4 linked regions of the Macaca fascicularis genome follow. The protein of the gene in region 3 purifies or fractionates together with the protein of the main gene of each other region. This does not show direct contact. Links are inferred from orthologs where the notes say so. Each region holds a gene or a part of one and is shown on either strand. Other genes may lie near its edges.

Evidence for each region.
Region 1: the proteins of ARPC1A (region 3) and ACTR3 purify together in Homo sapiens (affinity purification with mass spectrometry; 7 studies listed by BioGRID and IntAct, counting the BioPlex papers as one, with this or other methods). This does not show direct contact. The link is inferred for Macaca fascicularis from reciprocal best matches to the Homo sapiens genes ARPC1A and ACTR3.
Region 2: the proteins of ARPC1A (region 3) and ARPC3 purify together in Homo sapiens (affinity purification with mass spectrometry; 8 studies listed by BioGRID and IntAct, counting the BioPlex papers as one, with this or other methods). This does not show direct contact. The link is inferred for Macaca fascicularis from reciprocal best matches to the Homo sapiens genes ARPC1A and ARPC3.
Region 4: the proteins of ARPC1A (region 3) and ARPC4 fractionate together in Homo sapiens (co-fractionation; 7 studies listed by BioGRID and IntAct, with this or other methods). This does not show direct contact. The link is inferred for Macaca fascicularis from reciprocal best matches to the Homo sapiens genes ARPC1A and ARPC4.

Annotation. Positions count from the first base shown.
Region 1 is NC_088386.1:17,949,135-17,953,096, reverse strand, and holds the start of ACTR3 (actin-related protein 3), read left to right. Parts: upstream 1-1,154; 5' UTR 1,155-1,461; coding exon 1,462-1,505; intron 1,506-2,074; exon of another isoform or gene 2,075-2,198; intron 2,199-3,962. UniProt on the Homo sapiens protein: ATP-binding component of the Arp2/3 complex, a multiprotein complex that mediates actin polymerization upon stimulation by nucleation-promoting factor (NPF).
Region 2 is NC_088385.1:117,322,136-117,326,432, reverse strand, and holds the start of ARPC3 (actin-related protein 2/3 complex subunit 3), read left to right. Parts: upstream 1-1,489; 5' UTR 1,490-1,586; coding exon 1,587-1,592; intron 1,593-4,297. UniProt on the Homo sapiens protein: Component of the Arp2/3 complex, a multiprotein complex that mediates actin polymerization upon stimulation by nucleation-promoting factor (NPF).
Region 3 is NC_088377.1:47,933,410-47,936,919, reverse strand, and holds part of ARPC1A (actin-related protein 2/3 complex subunit 1A), read right to left. Parts: intron 2,312-3,510; coding exon 2,089-2,311; intron 1-2,088. UniProt on the Homo sapiens protein: Probably functions as a component of the Arp2/3 complex which is involved in regulation of actin polymerization and together with an activating nucleation-promoting factor (NPF) mediates the formation of branched actin networks.
Region 4 is NC_088376.1:148,054,167-148,058,422, forward strand, and holds the start of ARPC4 (actin-related protein 2/3 complex subunit 4), read left to right. Parts: upstream 1-1,448; 5' UTR 1,449-1,457; coding exon 1,458-1,625; coding exon of another isoform or gene 1,626-1,632; intron 1,633-4,256. UniProt on the Homo sapiens protein: Actin-binding component of the Arp2/3 complex, a multiprotein complex that mediates actin polymerization upon stimulation by nucleation-promoting factor (NPF).

The DNA.
Region 1 (3,962 bases), on a different chromosome or scaffold from region 3:
TTTTATTTTAGCTTCACATTAGCAAACTCAGAATGGTTTATTGTTAAGATCAGCCTGGTAGAGAGGAAAGCTATTAACCTTCTAGGGTCCTAAAGTGGAACTAGGAACTGATTAGATACGCAGATTTTCAGGCATTATTTCAGACAGCCCAGTCAGAGAATTCTGGGGGTGTGGCCCAGCAATCTGTTTTAACAAACCTTTCGGGTGATTCTGACACACACTAAAGTTTGAAAGGTTTCTTTAAGGCTTTCCAGTTTTCTTTTCTTTTTTTGGAGGGATGGTGGTGGGGGGGGGGTCTCCCTATGTGCCCAGACTGATCTCGAACTCCTAGCCTCAAGCTATCCTCTCCTCCCACCTCGGCCTTCCAAAGCATTGAAATTACAGGCCTGACCCACTGCGGCCCGCCTCCGTCTTTAACTTAAAAAAAATTTTGTTGGGGGGGGCTAAATCCCTTCTATTATCCCGCTAGTAGAATCTTACTACTCCTGAGGGTAATCTTTGTCATAGTCCAAAAGCCTTGAATAAAGGCTGTTTGTAGTTTTGCAGAATATATTCCTGGGCGGTTTGCCTTCCTCAGGAGCTCAGGCCTTGGGAGGTGGGGGTTGGGGGGCAGGGCTACATTCTGAAGTCCTGTAACAACGCACAAGTACAACTGAATAAAACTCGGAACAAAGGCATCAGGGCCACGGTGCAAGCCTTTGTTCATCCGTTCCCCGACTGCTCACCCTGTGTGATATCTCTCTTTTCCACCCAGAAAAGCAGCCACTCAAGTTTTAAGAATGGATGCATGCCGCGGACGTTTTCGATTAGGCCGTTTTCTCCCAGGCACTGGAGGATATTCGTGGCTGCAGGAGGCGCTTCCACTCTTTCCTCAACCTAGCGGAGAAGTAACTGAAACTAACCCAAGGGCTACCACCGAAAAGCCCCTTCCAGCTTCAGAAGCAGAACTAGAAGCTCGGCTAGACTTCTCCGTCTCTACCCTCCTGGAAAACCCGCTGTGGATTTCACTAACTTCAGGATCGGAGCCCCGGCAGGCGAACGCACCTTATTGCGCATGCTCGCTAGCCCCTCCCGCTCGGAGCGGAAGGGGGAGTGCTCGGGGCCTGGGCCCGGCCTGGCCGGGGCGTCGGCACCGGCGGCCATCTTGGCTTCCCGGGGAAAGGCGGCGTGAGGGGAAGAAGTTGTAGGGTGGGGGCAGGAGTGGGGAGGAGGGAAGAGAGAGGGGGAGGAGGCCGCGGCGGGGCAGGGCGGGGACTGCCTGCCTGCTTGGGTTGCGGAAGTGATAGCCGCTGACCGAGCCTGCTGCTTTCTTGCTACTGCTTCGGCTTCCCGGCTACCCCCCGGACGGTGAAGGCGGCCCGGCTGTGGATGGTCAGATAGCGCCTGTCTCCCGCCGCCAATCTCTGGCCCCTAGCAGCACGGAGCAGACGGCGGCAGCAGCAGCAGCAGGCGAGGAGGAAGATGGCGGGACGGCTGCCGGCCTGTGTGGTGGACTGTGGCACGGGGTAAGGGGGCTTACGGGCGGGGGTGGGGAAACTGAGGCGGAGGAAGGAAAATGGCGGGGGAGGGAGGAGGCCGGGAAATGAATGGTGCGGCGAGGTGCTGCCGCCGGCTGTCAGTCCTAGACTCGCCGGCCAGCGAGGGGTGGGGCCCGGAGCCAGGGCCTCGCCGGTCCCCTCGTTTCTCCCTCCTAGGACTGGGGCGGGGGCGCGGGCCCCAGATTCAACCCCCAACCCTCCCTGCAGCTTCCTCCGCGCGACCCCTCCCGGCCCTTCCCCCACTGCGGTGGGCAGTGCCGCCCAGAGAGTGCTAGGGACGGTCGTCTTAGGGGTGGTCCCCGGGCCCGACCCATCCGGCTTTGCTTTCCCTCCGTGTCCCTTTTTGCCAGTCGGTGTGGGGACCCAGGGGCCGAGCTCGGGGACTGGCCTGGTAGAGGAGCTAGAAAAGAGAAGCGCTCCTGGTAGGTTTTGCAAGATCGCTGTGACAACATTCTGCCCAGGGTGTGGGTGGGGAAAGGGAAGAATCGGACTCTGAAAATGGGAACCTACAGTGGGGTTTTCATTTGACCACCCACCTTCTCCTTTCGACTCCCGGTCATTGCCATCTCCCTCTGCGTTTCAACCGGTGAACCGAGTCACATTTTAATTCGAGGGAGAAAGATGTCATGTGTTACTTCTGTAGCCTCAAAAAAGTCCCCCAGTGAGCAAGCGCGCTGTAACTTCCTTAGTTTTGTCAAAGCCGCTTCCTGCTTTCAGTCTTTTATACCCTTATAAGGTAGTTTTTAGTTTCCAACCTGAACACATCTTATTAGAACTTTTAAAATTAAGCAGATTTTAAAGAGACTGAATTACAGGTGCTTGGTATCCATTTATATGACTTAAAAAATGTGCTTATGTTTCATGGAGAGGGGAGAAAGGAAGCACCCTGGGAAATAAACTAATTTAAGTTGTATTCGTTCATTCTGTAAAGGTATCTTGAAGGAAGCAGAAAGGTATAGAGGTATATAGGAATGTGTTTAAGTTGCAAGTAGTTACTCCTAGATCTGTAGGGTAGTTTGCTAAAATGTAGAATGGCTTAAAAGTGATCTTTCATTTTGTATTAATAGACATTTTAGAGAGTTGTACCACACTCATAACTACATAGAGAATAGACTACTCTTATTTTAATGTAGAATCACTGCTTCACGATGACTTATAGGAAAGGGTTCTTTTTTTCTGTTCTAATTACATCTCTCCAATTCCCAAAACACTCCCAATTTTTTTTTTTTTTTGAGGGGGAAGGCAGTGAGAGGCTTGTTTTTTTATTAATTATAATTATTAATTTCATTATTGTTACTTAAAAGATTGTGTGTCCTTCACTCTTTATGTGAAATTTCTTTAATCTTCATTCTCATAACTAGCTAGTGTGGCAGTTTCTAAAATCCCAATTAGGTAGAGAGAAACAACCAACTTCTTAATATTCTCCCTAGGAAAGCACTAGCCTAGATTAGCCTTGGAACTTCCATGTATTTTATTGATGAACACTTTATTATAAAGTTTTTCATGAACACTTTATTATAAAGTTTTTTCTTAATTGGTTCTCATTTCTCGGAACCAATAGTTTTTTTTATTTCCCCCTTCTTAGTCTAATTGATGAGTAGTTTTATGTCTAAGTTCAGTTTTAAAATTAGATTTGGCCTGAGTCAGTAGGATAGAACTTTTTAAATGTGTTTTGTTAAAGTGACGAATATTGCTACATAATTAATGCTTTAGAAATTACTGAGTTGTCAAAAAAATAGTGTAAATAACTGTGGCCCTAAGAAATAATATGGTAACATCTCAAGTAGTATGTTACTTTTCTAATCTCCATTTTTCCCTCTTTGAAATAGTTTCGAATTAGTATACAAGATGTCTCATTGAGGTCATCTGTCCTTAAGTGACCTCCTTTCCTAAAGGGCAACCTTGAATTTAAAACATGCTGAATGACCAGTAGGATCGGGGAGAGGGGTTCAATTTAACCTAGAGTATTTCTGTTTTAAAATTACAATTATTACAATAGTATATTTTTAAGTTATTACACTGGTTTCTCTGATAAGGAGAGGTTGTTAACTGCACTTTGATGGTTTGAATGGAACTGATTAGGAGTCCCCTTGCCACCTCCCTCTCTTTACCATTTGTCACAATCTGAAATTCCCCCTTTAGAGTTTCAGTTATTTTGGTCCTCAAAAGGCTTTTTGGTCTTGCAGGTTGCCAGTGGTGCCTCCTGGGAAGTTACACTTTCAGCTTTATTAGCACATGGAGGATAAGTCCTTGAGGTCGAGGACCCTGAGATAAGCATCTCTAAGTATGGCCTTAACAGGGAGCTTTTACATTTCAAAATTCTGTGGGCCCCGAATGCAAATTGTGCACCTATAATTTGTCTATTTCTTTATGCTTTAGAGAATGCATTCAGTTCTTAGGTCTCTAAATTACAATTACCCACTT
Region 2 (4,297 bases), on a different chromosome or scaffold from region 3:
CTCCCTGGTTTAGCTTCTAGAGAGTATGGTATGTGCCTGTGGAGAAAAAGTGAAGGACCCAATTCCAGTGCCTTCCCCACTGGACACTAGGGTTTCAAAGATGAATCTGACAATTCCAGTCCTCGAGGATTTCACTGTCTCATAGGCAGGGCTGACATGATTCTTTACACAAATTTACTGAAGTTCTATGGATGCCAGGTACTGGGGATAGAACAGGGACTCAGTGCAGGCAGCGCTTTGCTCACGTGGGGCTGTCATGCTGGGCTGTGAGACTGAACCTCGGAGAGAGGATGGAAAGAACAGAAAGCAGAAAAGAAATGGAGAGTGACTATGGGGCTACTTTGGGCTCTTTGTCAAAAAAGACCTTGCCTAAAAGGTGCTATTTGCCCAGTCACCTGAATGCGAAATCAGATGTGGGAACATGGGGCTCTATTCCAGGCTGCGAACTGGCAGAAGAAATGGCTCTCAGGTAGCAATGAACTTGACTTTTAACGTAAGTTTTCTAGTAATAAATAGGTTAAAAACTCCTGGGCTTTCGGTATGCTCCAAGCATGTAAGTTCTAAGCATTTTACATGTAATTCATTTCATCGTCACAAAATTATGAGGTAAATATTGTTACTACCATTTTCAGGTGAGGAACTGAAGTACAGAGGCAAGTTAACTTGCTCAAAATTATAGAGCTAGTATGTATTGAAGCTGCGATTCAGATTCCAGTGCCCTTCAGTTTCTCTATTTTTAGATGCAGTGCATTGGGTTCATTCATTTACTCAAATACTGATGTTTCCTACATACCATCACTGTTACAGGCGCCAGGGGACAAAACGGGCGAAGTGCTGTCTGGCATTTACAAGGATAGGGAGACAAGCACTAAGAGTAAACTAAATACAAGAATCATAAGAACTAAGGGAAAAAGCGGGAGAGAAGGATAAGGCATGGGGCTGGAGTCGGGTGAATTGAAAACAGAATGACCAGAGGCGGCTTCACAGGAAAGGTGTTTTGTTTGTTTGTTTAAGATAGAGTCACACTCTCACCCAAGCTAGAGTGCAGCGGCACGATCTTGGCTCACCGCAAACTCCGCCTCCCAGGTTCAAGCGATTATTCTGCCTCAGCCTCCCGAGTAGCTGGGATGCTACCACGCCCAGCTAATTTTTGTATTTTTAGTAGAGACGAGATTTCACCATCCAGGCTGATCTCGGACTCCTGACTTCAGGTAATCCACCCGCCTCGGCCTCCCAAAGTGCTGGGATTACAGGCATGAGCCACTATGCCCGGCCCTGAAAAGGTGAAATTTGAAAAAAACACAAAAGAGGTGATTGATCGAAGATTCTGGAACCTCAAGACCCATCTCCATTTTGCGCGCGCCTCACGCTGCGCCACTCTGAGGGCCCCTACCTAGCGCTCTGGCGCCCCCTTTCAGATCCGCGCGGCCGCTGCAACCAGAGGCGGAACTACAAAGCCGGAAGCTCACGTCATCACCCCGCCCCTTCCGTTTCGCTTCCGCCTACCCCGCCCGGGCTGCCAGACCGGAAGCGTTCTGCTCTACCTGGATTCTGCTCCTCTGGGTTGGAACCCGGGTGCTGCCAAGATGCCGGTGAGGGTTCGATCCATGGTGTGGGGAGACAGCGGGGATTGCGAAAAGCGGGGAGAAACCTTGTGTGTGCCGAGAGAAGCGGGCGGCGGAAGGCAGAGAGGAAGCGGGAGCCCGAGAAGGAGTGAGGCGAGGGGAGGGGACCGGTCGCTGAAGAATTGGGACAGCCCGCGGGTGCCAGTCGTGGGAGGCGGGGGCGCGGCAGGAGTGGGCCCGGGGTCCAGGGGTCCAGGGTGTGTGAGGAGGCCCTCTTCTCTCTCTCTCCGTCTACTCCTTCCGGCTCCGGCAGGGTTCCCAAAGCGTCACTACAGCGCGAAGCCAAGGGTTGCCCTTTTTATTTTTCATATTTCAAGTCCAGGGTCTAGCTTCTCCTTTTTCTGTGAGGCCCACTTCCTCCTCCGCCCCGGGGGGCAGGCTCCCTCTGCTGTTTGTCATTTGTCAGAACCCACTTCCCGGCAGCGGCGGCCACCCCGGAGCCACCTGGGTATAGGGCCCTCACAGACTCGGTCGGCGCCTGACTTCCAAAGATTTCCTTTTTCGTGTGCATCAGAGTGGGAGTAAAAATCTATGACGGTCTGGTTGTACTTAATTTCTGACAGGCAGTCTGTGGGCTAGATTTATCACCATCATGGTCTCCATTTTGCAGATTCGGGAAAAGGTGGTTCGGTTATTGTGTGATTGTTCACACTTTTTTTGTTTGTTTTTTGAGAGAGTCTCGTTCTGTGGTCCAGGCTGGAGTGCAGTGAGGCGATCTCGGCTCACTACAACCTCCGCCACCTTGGTTCAAGCAGTCCTCGTGCCTCAGCCTCCTGGGTAGCTGGGATTACAGGCGCGCGCCACCACACCCAGCTAATTTTTTGCATTTTAGTAGGGACGGGGGTTTCACCATGTTGGCTGGGCTGGGCTGGAACTCCAGACCTCAGGTGATCCGCCCCCTCGGCCTCCCAAAGTGTTGGGATTATAGACATGAGCCACCGCGCCCAGCCTGCTCACACATTATTTTTAACAAACGTTACCGAGCACCTACTGCCTGCCAGGCTCTATTTACAGCAGCAAATAAGTTCAACAAATCCCTAATCTTAAACAGTGTACGTTCAAATCGGGAGACGAGACAATAAAAGTGTAAACATAAAGGAGATACATACAGTAGTGTCAGGTAGTGACAAATGCTATAAAGAAGCTAGATGGATGGCCAGGCGCGGTGGCTCACGCCTGTAATCCCAGCACTTTGGGAGGCCTAGGCGGATGGATCACGAGGTCAGGAGTTCAAGACCAGCCTGGCCAACATGGTGAAACTCCATCTCTACTAAAAATAAAAAAATTAGCTGGGCGTAGTGGCGCGTGCCTGTAATCCCAGCTACTTGGGAGGCTGAGGCAGGAGAATCGCTTGAACCCAGGAGGTGGAGGTTGCAGTGAGCCAAGACTGTGCCACTGCACTCCAGCCTGGCCACAGAGTGAGACTCTGACCCCCCCACTCCAAAAAAAAGAAACTAGATAGGTAACAAGACAGTTTGGTGAAAGGGAAGGCAGAGGGTACTTTAGATAAAGTATACTTGTGATGAAAAGGAGCAAGCCATAGTTGCAAATACATATATAGAGAGATATATATAGATAGATAGATTTTTTTTTTTTTTTTTTTTTTGAGACAGGGTTACACCCCGTCTCTGAGACTGCAGTGCAGTGACACAAACTTGGCTCAGGTGATCCTCCCACCTCAGCCTCCTGAGCAGCTGGGACTACAGGTGTACGTCGCCACGCCCAGCTAAGTTTTTCTATTTTCAGTAGAGACAGGGTCTCACCATGTTGCCCAGGCTGGTCTCAAACTTCTGGGCTCAAGCAGTCCTCCTGCCTCGACCTCCCTGAGTGTTGGGATTACAGGCGTGAGCCACCTCATTCAGCCTCACAAATACATATTTTATGAATTCCGTAATTACCATTTGACTCCTGAGCTCTGGGGTACACACTTTATAAATTATCCCATCTAATCCTCATAATGACCCTGTGAAGTAGGTACCATGATTCCTATTTTACAGAAGAGGAAACGGAACCTCAGAGAAGTTAATTTGGACAAAGTTGCCTACTAATGGTAAAACCAGATTTTAAGCCAGGACTCTAGGCTGGGTACAGTGGCTTATGCCTGTAATCCCAACACTTTAGGAGGCCAAGATGGGAGGATCGCTTGAGCCCAGGGGTTTGAGACCAACCTGGGCAACATAATGAGACCCTGCCTCTACAAAAATAAGAATAAATTAACTGGATGTGGTAGTGCATCTCCTCCCAGCCTCTCAAGAGGCTGAGGTGGGAGGATCACCTGGAGCCAGGAGTTTGAGGCTGCAGTGAGCTGTGATCATGCCACTGTACTCCAGCCTGGGTGAGAGGAGACTCTGTCTCCAAAAAAAAAGGACTCTAAAGCCCTGTACTGGCTCCAGTTGCACATAGAGCACCCTGGATTCACCCTGGGTTGGTTGGTTGGTTGGTTGGTTGGTTGGTTTGAGATGGAGTCTCGCTCTGTACCAGGCTGGAGTGCAGTGGTGCGATCTCGGCTCACTGCAACCTCTGCCTCCTGTGTTCAGGTAATTCTCGTGCCTCAGCCTCCCAAGTAGCTGGGAATACAGGCATGTGCTACCACACCCGGCTAATTTTTGTATTTTTAGTAGAGATGGGGTTTCACCATGTTGGTCTGGATGGTCTCTATCTTTTGGCCTTGT
Region 3 (3,510 bases):
ACCATCCTGGCTAACATGGTGAAACCCCGTCTCTATTAAAAATACAAAAAACTAGCCGGGCGAGGTGGCGGGCGCCTGTAGTCCCAGCCACTCGGGAGGCTGAGGCAGGAGAATGGCGTGAACCCGGGAGGCGGAGCTTGCAGTGAGCTGAGACCCGGCCACTGCACTCCAGCCTGGGCGACAGAGCGAGACTCCGTCTCAAAAAAAAAAAAAAAAAAAAAAAAAAAAAAAAAAAAAAAAGAAATTTGTAAGATTGCAAGGAGTACCAGCTGACATAAAGTTTAGCCTTGAAGGAATATTAATGAACTTAGTTTCCTATCCCATTACAATGAAACTTCTAAATCGTTTCTAGCAGGTAACATTTTGTTGGCCTTGATTTATACACATTTGAAAGAAAAACATGTTTCAAATTCATAACTCAATTTTTTTTTTTTTGAGACGGAGTTTCACTCTTGATGCCCAGGCTAGAGTGCAATGGCACAATCTCAGCTCACCACAACCTCCGCTTCCTGGGTTCAAGAGATTCTCCTGCCTCAGCCTCCCAGGTAGCTGGGATTACAGGCATGCACCACCACACCCCGCTAATTTTTCTGTATTTTTAGTAGAGACGGGATTTCTCCATGTTGGTCAGGCTGGTCTCAAACTCCTGACCTCAGGTGATCCACCCACCTTGGCCTCCCAAAGGGCTGGGGTTACACGCGTAAGCCACTATGCCCGGCCCATAACTCAATTTTACTGCAAGTTCCCAATCTCTTTTCGAAGAATAAAATTTCCGAAGTTTTACTAAATTACAAAGGTAACATGATAATCCCCTCCTTTCAGTTTCAGCAGAATACAAATAACAAAACGGCTACAAAGAGTCATGTATACTCTGCTATTTTTAGTAGAAACACAAACACTGCCAGTATAGTACTAAATGACAACTTTATGTTGAAGGATATTTACCAGTCATGCTGAACACACGCCAGGTAGAATACAATTTTTTTTTTTTTTTTTTGAGATGGAGTCTCACTGGGTCGCCCAGGCTGGAGTGCCCAATGGCATGATCTTGGCTCGCTGAAACCTCTGCCTCCTGAGTTCAAATGATTCTCCTGCCTCAGCCTCCCGAGTAGTTGGGATTATAGGCGCCTGCCACTGTGCCCGGCTAATTTTTGTATTTTTAGTAGAGATGGGGTTTCGCCATCTTGGCCAGGGTGGAGAATAATTGTTTTCTTATCAAAATAAACAGGAAGGAGTAGTTAAAATAAGTTTTGGTCATAAAGTCAACCTCTATGTTTTGACTGGGTCAGCTACGAGTGATTTATTTAAAAAATGTACAATAGCCTGATTAGACTTCTACGATTCTGGTGAGTTTTCACTTCAATAGTTTAAACAAGTAAAATATTACATCAAGACACAGAGTTGTTTGGCAAATAAGCTTTAAAGAAAGGAGAACACTGGCTGGGCGTGGTAGTTCACACCTGTAATCCCAGCACTTTGGGAGGCCAAGGGGGTGGATCACAAGGTCAGGAGTTCAAGACCAGCCTGGCCAAGATGGTGAAACCTCATCTCTACTAAAACTACAAAAATTAGCCGGGCGTGATGGCAGGTGACTGTAATCCCAGCTACTCGGGAGGCTGAGGCAGGAGAATTGCTTGGACCACGAGGGGTGGAGGTTGCAGTGAGCCAAGATCGTGCCACTGCACTCCATCTGGCCTGGGCAACAGAGTGAGACTCTGTCTCAAAAAAAAAAAAAAAAAAAAAAAAAAGAACATTGTTATCTGTAGGAATCCTACATAGATATCGTGTGAAAAAAAAAATTCCTCAGGGAACAGAGACTCTTTCAAGGTTATTATTTGTATATGAGAGTAAGAAAACAGCAATATGTGCAGTATAGAGTGAGAACAGAACATGGACACAATAGCTCTATGTTAATATAAAAAACATGCGATTTAACTTAACATGCACATCAGAAGGGAAAATGCTCAGACAGCATCAAGAATTTCAGAGAAAAAAACCACACAACTCCAGATGAGAAAAAACCAGAGTTTTTTCAGTGCAAATGTAAATTCTATAGAGAGGGATAGAAAAAGTTCAGATGTCACTCACCAGTCATTTTCAGACTCAAAGTAACAAACAGAAATGAGTCGTGCTCCACTTCCCACAGCAAATTTGTTCTCTAGGGGGGACCACTTCACAAAAGTAGCTGCGCGATTAATTCTCAGGATCACCAGGGTTGGCTTCCAGACACCATCTTTCTGACTCCAGACATAGGCATTGCGGTCTGCTCCACAAGTGACGATGCGATCGCTCTTGGGAGCCCAGTCAATACCTGCAAGTGAGATGTGGGTCACCTGCTTTGCCCAGTCAATGACAAACAACTGCAGCACAGGCAGGTGGGTGGCACTGGCATGCCAGGATGAGATGTGGTCTTGGGACCTTCCTCCCAGGCACATCCTTCCCCCCATCTATGTCCTGATCACTGCCTCAAGGAAAGGCAAGGATGCTTCTCTGCAAAGCATCTGGGACTCAGGATTATCTATGAGGTCATGTAGAACAGAGCTGTTTTATAATTACAGACTTTACAAAACTAAACGGGGGCATTCTTTCGACCCAGAAAATTCACACATTTCTAAGACTTCTAAAGATCTCAAGATTCATTACTTTTTTCTTTCTTCTTTATTGGATTTTTGTGTGTGAAAATAACTGTATTCATTCATTAACAGACCTCATTCCATGATATTAACCAACAGTCTGCTACATGGCATTCAACTAAAACAGCATACAGGGTAAATAAAAATAATCTTTAGTGTAAAGGAGGAAATATATATTGTGATTCATCATATATTTTTCTGAAAGTTGCTGTCAGTTGAACCATACTGAAAACCTTTTCTACATGATGCAGGTTCTGTAAAATTCTTGATTATCTTTGCATCTAAACCAGGAAGATACCTAAATGTGTATCTGAATTTAAGGTTTACTTTTCTTATTTGATGAGACTTTATCTGGTACCTCTGTGAAGAATCCCAAAGTCAAGGTCAGTTTCTTATATACTAAGAGCAAAATTTACCATGACTCATTTAACATTTACTAATGAGGTATTTTCTTTGCTTTTGTTTTTGTTTTTTGAGATGGAGTTTTGCTCTTGTAGCCTAGGCTGGAGTACAATGGCGTGATCTCAGCTCACTGCAACCTCAACCTCCCAGGTTCAAGTGATTCTCCTGCCTCAGCCTCCCGAGTAGCTGGGATTACAGGTGGATGCCACCACACTCAGCTAATTTTTGTGTTTTTAGTAGAGACGGGGTTTCACCATATTGACCAGGCTGATCTCGAACTCCTGACTTTAGGCAATCTGCCCGCCTTGGCCTCCCAAATTGCTGGGATTACAGGCGTGAGCCACTGCACTTGGCCTTGATGAGTTATTTTCTAGAAATATAATTTCACATTAAAAAGTACAGAAATATTACTAATAAATATTTATTACAGATCTCTCTCTAAAAATTAATACTTAGCATTCTTGACATGTATATG
Region 4 (4,256 bases), on a different chromosome or scaffold from region 3:
TTACCTCCAGGGACAGTCTCAAGCAAGCCAGGCTTCAGTCCCTTACTGACAAAATTGATGGCACAGTTCCTACTCACAGGGCACTTAACTGTGTACCAAGCTAGGCGCAAAGCACTTTATCAGCTTATCTCACTTAATTTCTCACTCAGCACCATGAACAAGGACCGTTGTGATCTCTTTACAGAGAAAGAAACTGAGACTCTGTAAGGGTGGGTATGTGCCTATGCTTCCAAGATGCAATTTGAACCCCGCTATATTGAGTCTGCACCCCTGATCACCATGCTATATTACTATGCATTGCCTTGCCTTTCTGATGCTCTTTCCTTCCCTTCTATTTCTCTTGGGTTCTGCTAAGACTTTGAGTTCCAAGCACCCCATTCTTACCATGTTCTCTGGGACTCTTGGCCTCTTTTCTTATCCTACTCCACCTTTCTCCCTTCTCTAGTCACTAATAGTGGTTTAGAACGTGGGCTGGTAAGCCAGACAGACCCGGGTTCAAGTCCAGGCTTTACCATTCTCTACTTATGTGCCCCTGAACATGTTGTTTAACCTTTTTGAGTCTCAGTTTTTCCATCTGTAAAATGGGAACAAAAGAAGTCTCGGTCTGTTTCCCCATTAAAAGTCTGAATCTGAAAAATGGGGATAACAACGGTACCTACCTCCCTGGGATGTTCTGAGGATTAAGAGATGATGCCCGTCAAGAGCCCAGTTCAGTGTCTGGCACAGAAATGGGACTATTTAATGGCTGGCCCCGCCCGGGGGTCGTCCAAATGTCCCGCCTTCAGAGTCCTCGTTCTCTAGGGACACCCTAGCGCGACCCCCGCCCCCTCTACCTCCTCACTGCGGCCTCCTACGGCCCCAGGGCCGCGGGAGGGGGCGGGGAGTTCCGGTCGACGGGAGCAACCGCCCCGGAACTGGCTATGGGCGGGCCCCTTGCAGTTGACGCGGGGGCGGGGAGTCAGCGAGGGCGAGCCTACTGAAGTTTGCCGGGGGTGGGGAGAAGGTGGGCCTCGAGCAAGCCCGCTAGAGGTGGGGTGCGGGTGGTTGGCCTCAGGCGCGCCCCAGGGCATAGCCCGGGGCGGGAGGCGGGAGGCGGGGCTTGGCGGCGGAGATCTCGGCGCTGCAGTTAGCGCCGCTGAGCCCCAGGAGCTGCGGGTAGGAGGGGCGAGAGAAAGGATGGGGGCACAGAACCGGAAGAAACGAAGGGCTCCTCCGCTTCAGCTTGTCCTAATTTGGTGCCCAATCTGAAGCTGGGCTGTACCATTGCATACCTGGGGGGAGGCTGTGGCAAAGGTAACAAGAAGGCCGAAGGCACAAAGGGGAGCTGCTCCCATTCCTGGAGAAGCTTAAGTAGTGACTCGAGTGCAAGAGTTTAAAGATACCGAGACAGCCCTAGGTGGAAAACTTCCGGAAGGGCCAAGCGTTCGCAAGGGCTCCCTATCCCGCTCAGAGCATAGATGGTACCATCCGGAAGTCCGGGCGGAGACAGAGGCTGCGCTTCTCGCGAAAGGGCAGGCATCGCGGGGCTGGCCACTTCCGTACTTCCGCTTTCCGGCCCAGCCAGCGCCCGCGATGGTGAGAGAGCCGGGCCCCCGGCCAGGGACCCCCAGCTGTTCAGCCTCAGGGCAGTGGGTCGGTGGGAGATGTGGCTTTGCCGCAGGGGCGCGGGGCTGAGGGATGCCCGGGGGTTGTGGGGACACCATGAGGGTGGGAGAAAGAGGGCGGGGGCCCGAGGTGAGGAAGGGGCGAGTAGGGGTACTCCCTGGTTTGAAGCGGGCCTTGCGGCTTCGTGATCAGCCTTCCAAGCAGGTAGGGGCTTTTACTGAGCCCTGGAGGAAGCTGGAAGTGGGGCTTCCTAGGCTCTTTGGAGCGTTTCGAGGGTACGTAGTCGGCCTCTTAGCCCGTCGAAGGGCCGCTGAGGCATGTAGCGGGTCCATCTGCCTGTCCACAGTAGAGCTTCACTAAATACGCCCTTTGTCTTCTGCCTTCCTGACCCTACAGTTGCTTAAGGCAGGCGGCCACACTTCCTTATCCCACTCTTGGTACCTCCAGCCCTGCTTCCACCCCACTGGAGGATCTCTCGTGTTGCTTCCATTCAGGCCCCTCCTGGTCAGAACTGAACTGTGTCAGCCCTAGTGTTTGTTAGCTGTGATACTGCTCATCCCTCCCTTCCTGAAAGTCCTCCCTTTTTCATACATGTGGGTATTCTTGGGAGTTGTGACTTTGGATGACCACCTCCCTCATCGTCACACCTTCCCTGGTGATACCGATCTAGTCTGCTGGCTTCGATGACTTTCTTCACTCTGATGACTCCTAATCTGGCTTCTCAGCTCTCTTTGAAGGTTTGCCTGGGTATCTTGAAGAGACCTTGAAATTACACCTCTAGTTCAAAACTCATCTTCCATTCTAAATTTGCTCTTCCTCCTGAGTTCCCTATCCTGGCAAACTTTGTGAACTCGTATCCCTGCTAGAAATCTGGATTTTTTTTTTCTAATGGAGCACATGCGTCTTGATTTTTAAAAATTTAAGTTTTTTGAGGTATTGTATGAGACTACGTCTGTTTTATTCATGAAAGGACAGGCGTCACGGAGCCAGTCACCTTTTTTAGGTTTACTGTCTATAACTATTGCCAAAGGCCGGGCGCGGTGGCTCGCGCTTGTAATCCCAGCACTTTGGGAGGTCGAGGTGGGCGGATCACGAGGTCAGGCCATCCAGACCATCCTGGCTAACACGGTGAAACCCCTTCTCTACTAAAAATGCAGAAAATTAGCCGGGAGGGTGGTGGTGGACGCCTGTAGTCCCACCTTCTCGGGAGGCAGGGGCAGGGGCAGGAGAACGGCGTGAACCCAGGAGGCAGAGCTTGCGGTGAGCCGAGATCGTGCCACTGCACTCCAGCCTGTCGCTCCAGCGACAGAGCGAGACTCCATCTCAAAAAAAAAAAAGTGTTGACAAAAACTTGCTGGGTATGGTGGCATGCACCTGTAGTACCATCTGCTCAGGAGGCTTAGGCAGGAGGATCACTTGAGCCCAGAAGTTCGAGGCTGTAGTACCCTGTGATCACGCCTGTGAATAGCCACTGCACTGTAGCCTGGACAATATAGCAAGATCCTGTGTCTTAAAAAAAAAAAAGTCAAGTTATGTAACCACTACTACAACCAAAATACAGAATATTTCCATCACCCCAAAAAATTCCCTCGAGCCCTTTTGTAATCACACCTTTCCTCCTTCCCACCCCCGACAACCACTGATTTTTTTAACCCCTATAGTTTTGCCTTTTTCAGATTGTCATGTGAATGGAATGCTTTAGTATGCAGGCTTTTAAATGTACCTTCTTACCATAGTACATGTGAGAGTCAACCATGTTGTGTGTATCAATAGTTACTCTTTTTTATTGCTAAGTAGTATTTAATTGAATGACCGGACCATAGTTCGTTGGAAGTTGTTTTTTTCTTTTTTTTTTTTAAAGACACAGTCTCTCCCTGTCGCCCAGGCTGGAGTGCAGTGGCCAGATCTCGGCTCACTGCAACCTCAGTCTCCTGGGTTCAAGCAGTTCTCCTGCTTCAGCCTCCCAAGTAGCTGAGATTACAGGCACCCGTCGTGGCTAATTTTTTTGTATTTTTAGTAGAGACAGGGTTTTGCCATGTTAGCCAAGCTGGTCTTGAACTGCTGACCTCAGGTGATCCACCCACCTCGGCCTCCCAAAGTGCTGGGATTACAGGCATAAGCCCCTGGGAAGTTGTTTTTCAGTTCCGTTATCCACTCCATCTAATGTCAGTCCAACACTTGTGATACTCTTTGCTGGTGACACAGTCTGCTGTATGTCTCACTTCCCTCTCCAAATCATTCTTCACAGAGCTACCATGCAGCTGCAGTCATGAACTTCCTCCTCAGAAAGCCCCAGTAGTTCCTTACCCCCTTAAGAGAAAAGCTAAACTTGGTCTGGCATTCAAGATTCCCCATGATCTGACCTCAGTCTACCACTGCAGCCTCATTTAGTGAATCTAAAATGCTTCTCATATACAGAAACATTGTACTCATTACTACTCTGGAACTCTTGCTGTCCTTTTGTGTTACTCTAACCTTAATTATTTCTTTTGCTCATTTATTCTACAGGAAATGAGTAAGACACTCTACATGTTACGTACTGAGCTAGGTTGGAGGCTATATAGCTGTGAGTAAAATAAATATGGTCTGTTGACCACGAGGTTTACAGCCTAATAAAGGAGAAATCACTTTACAAAGGCATGAAGGAGGCC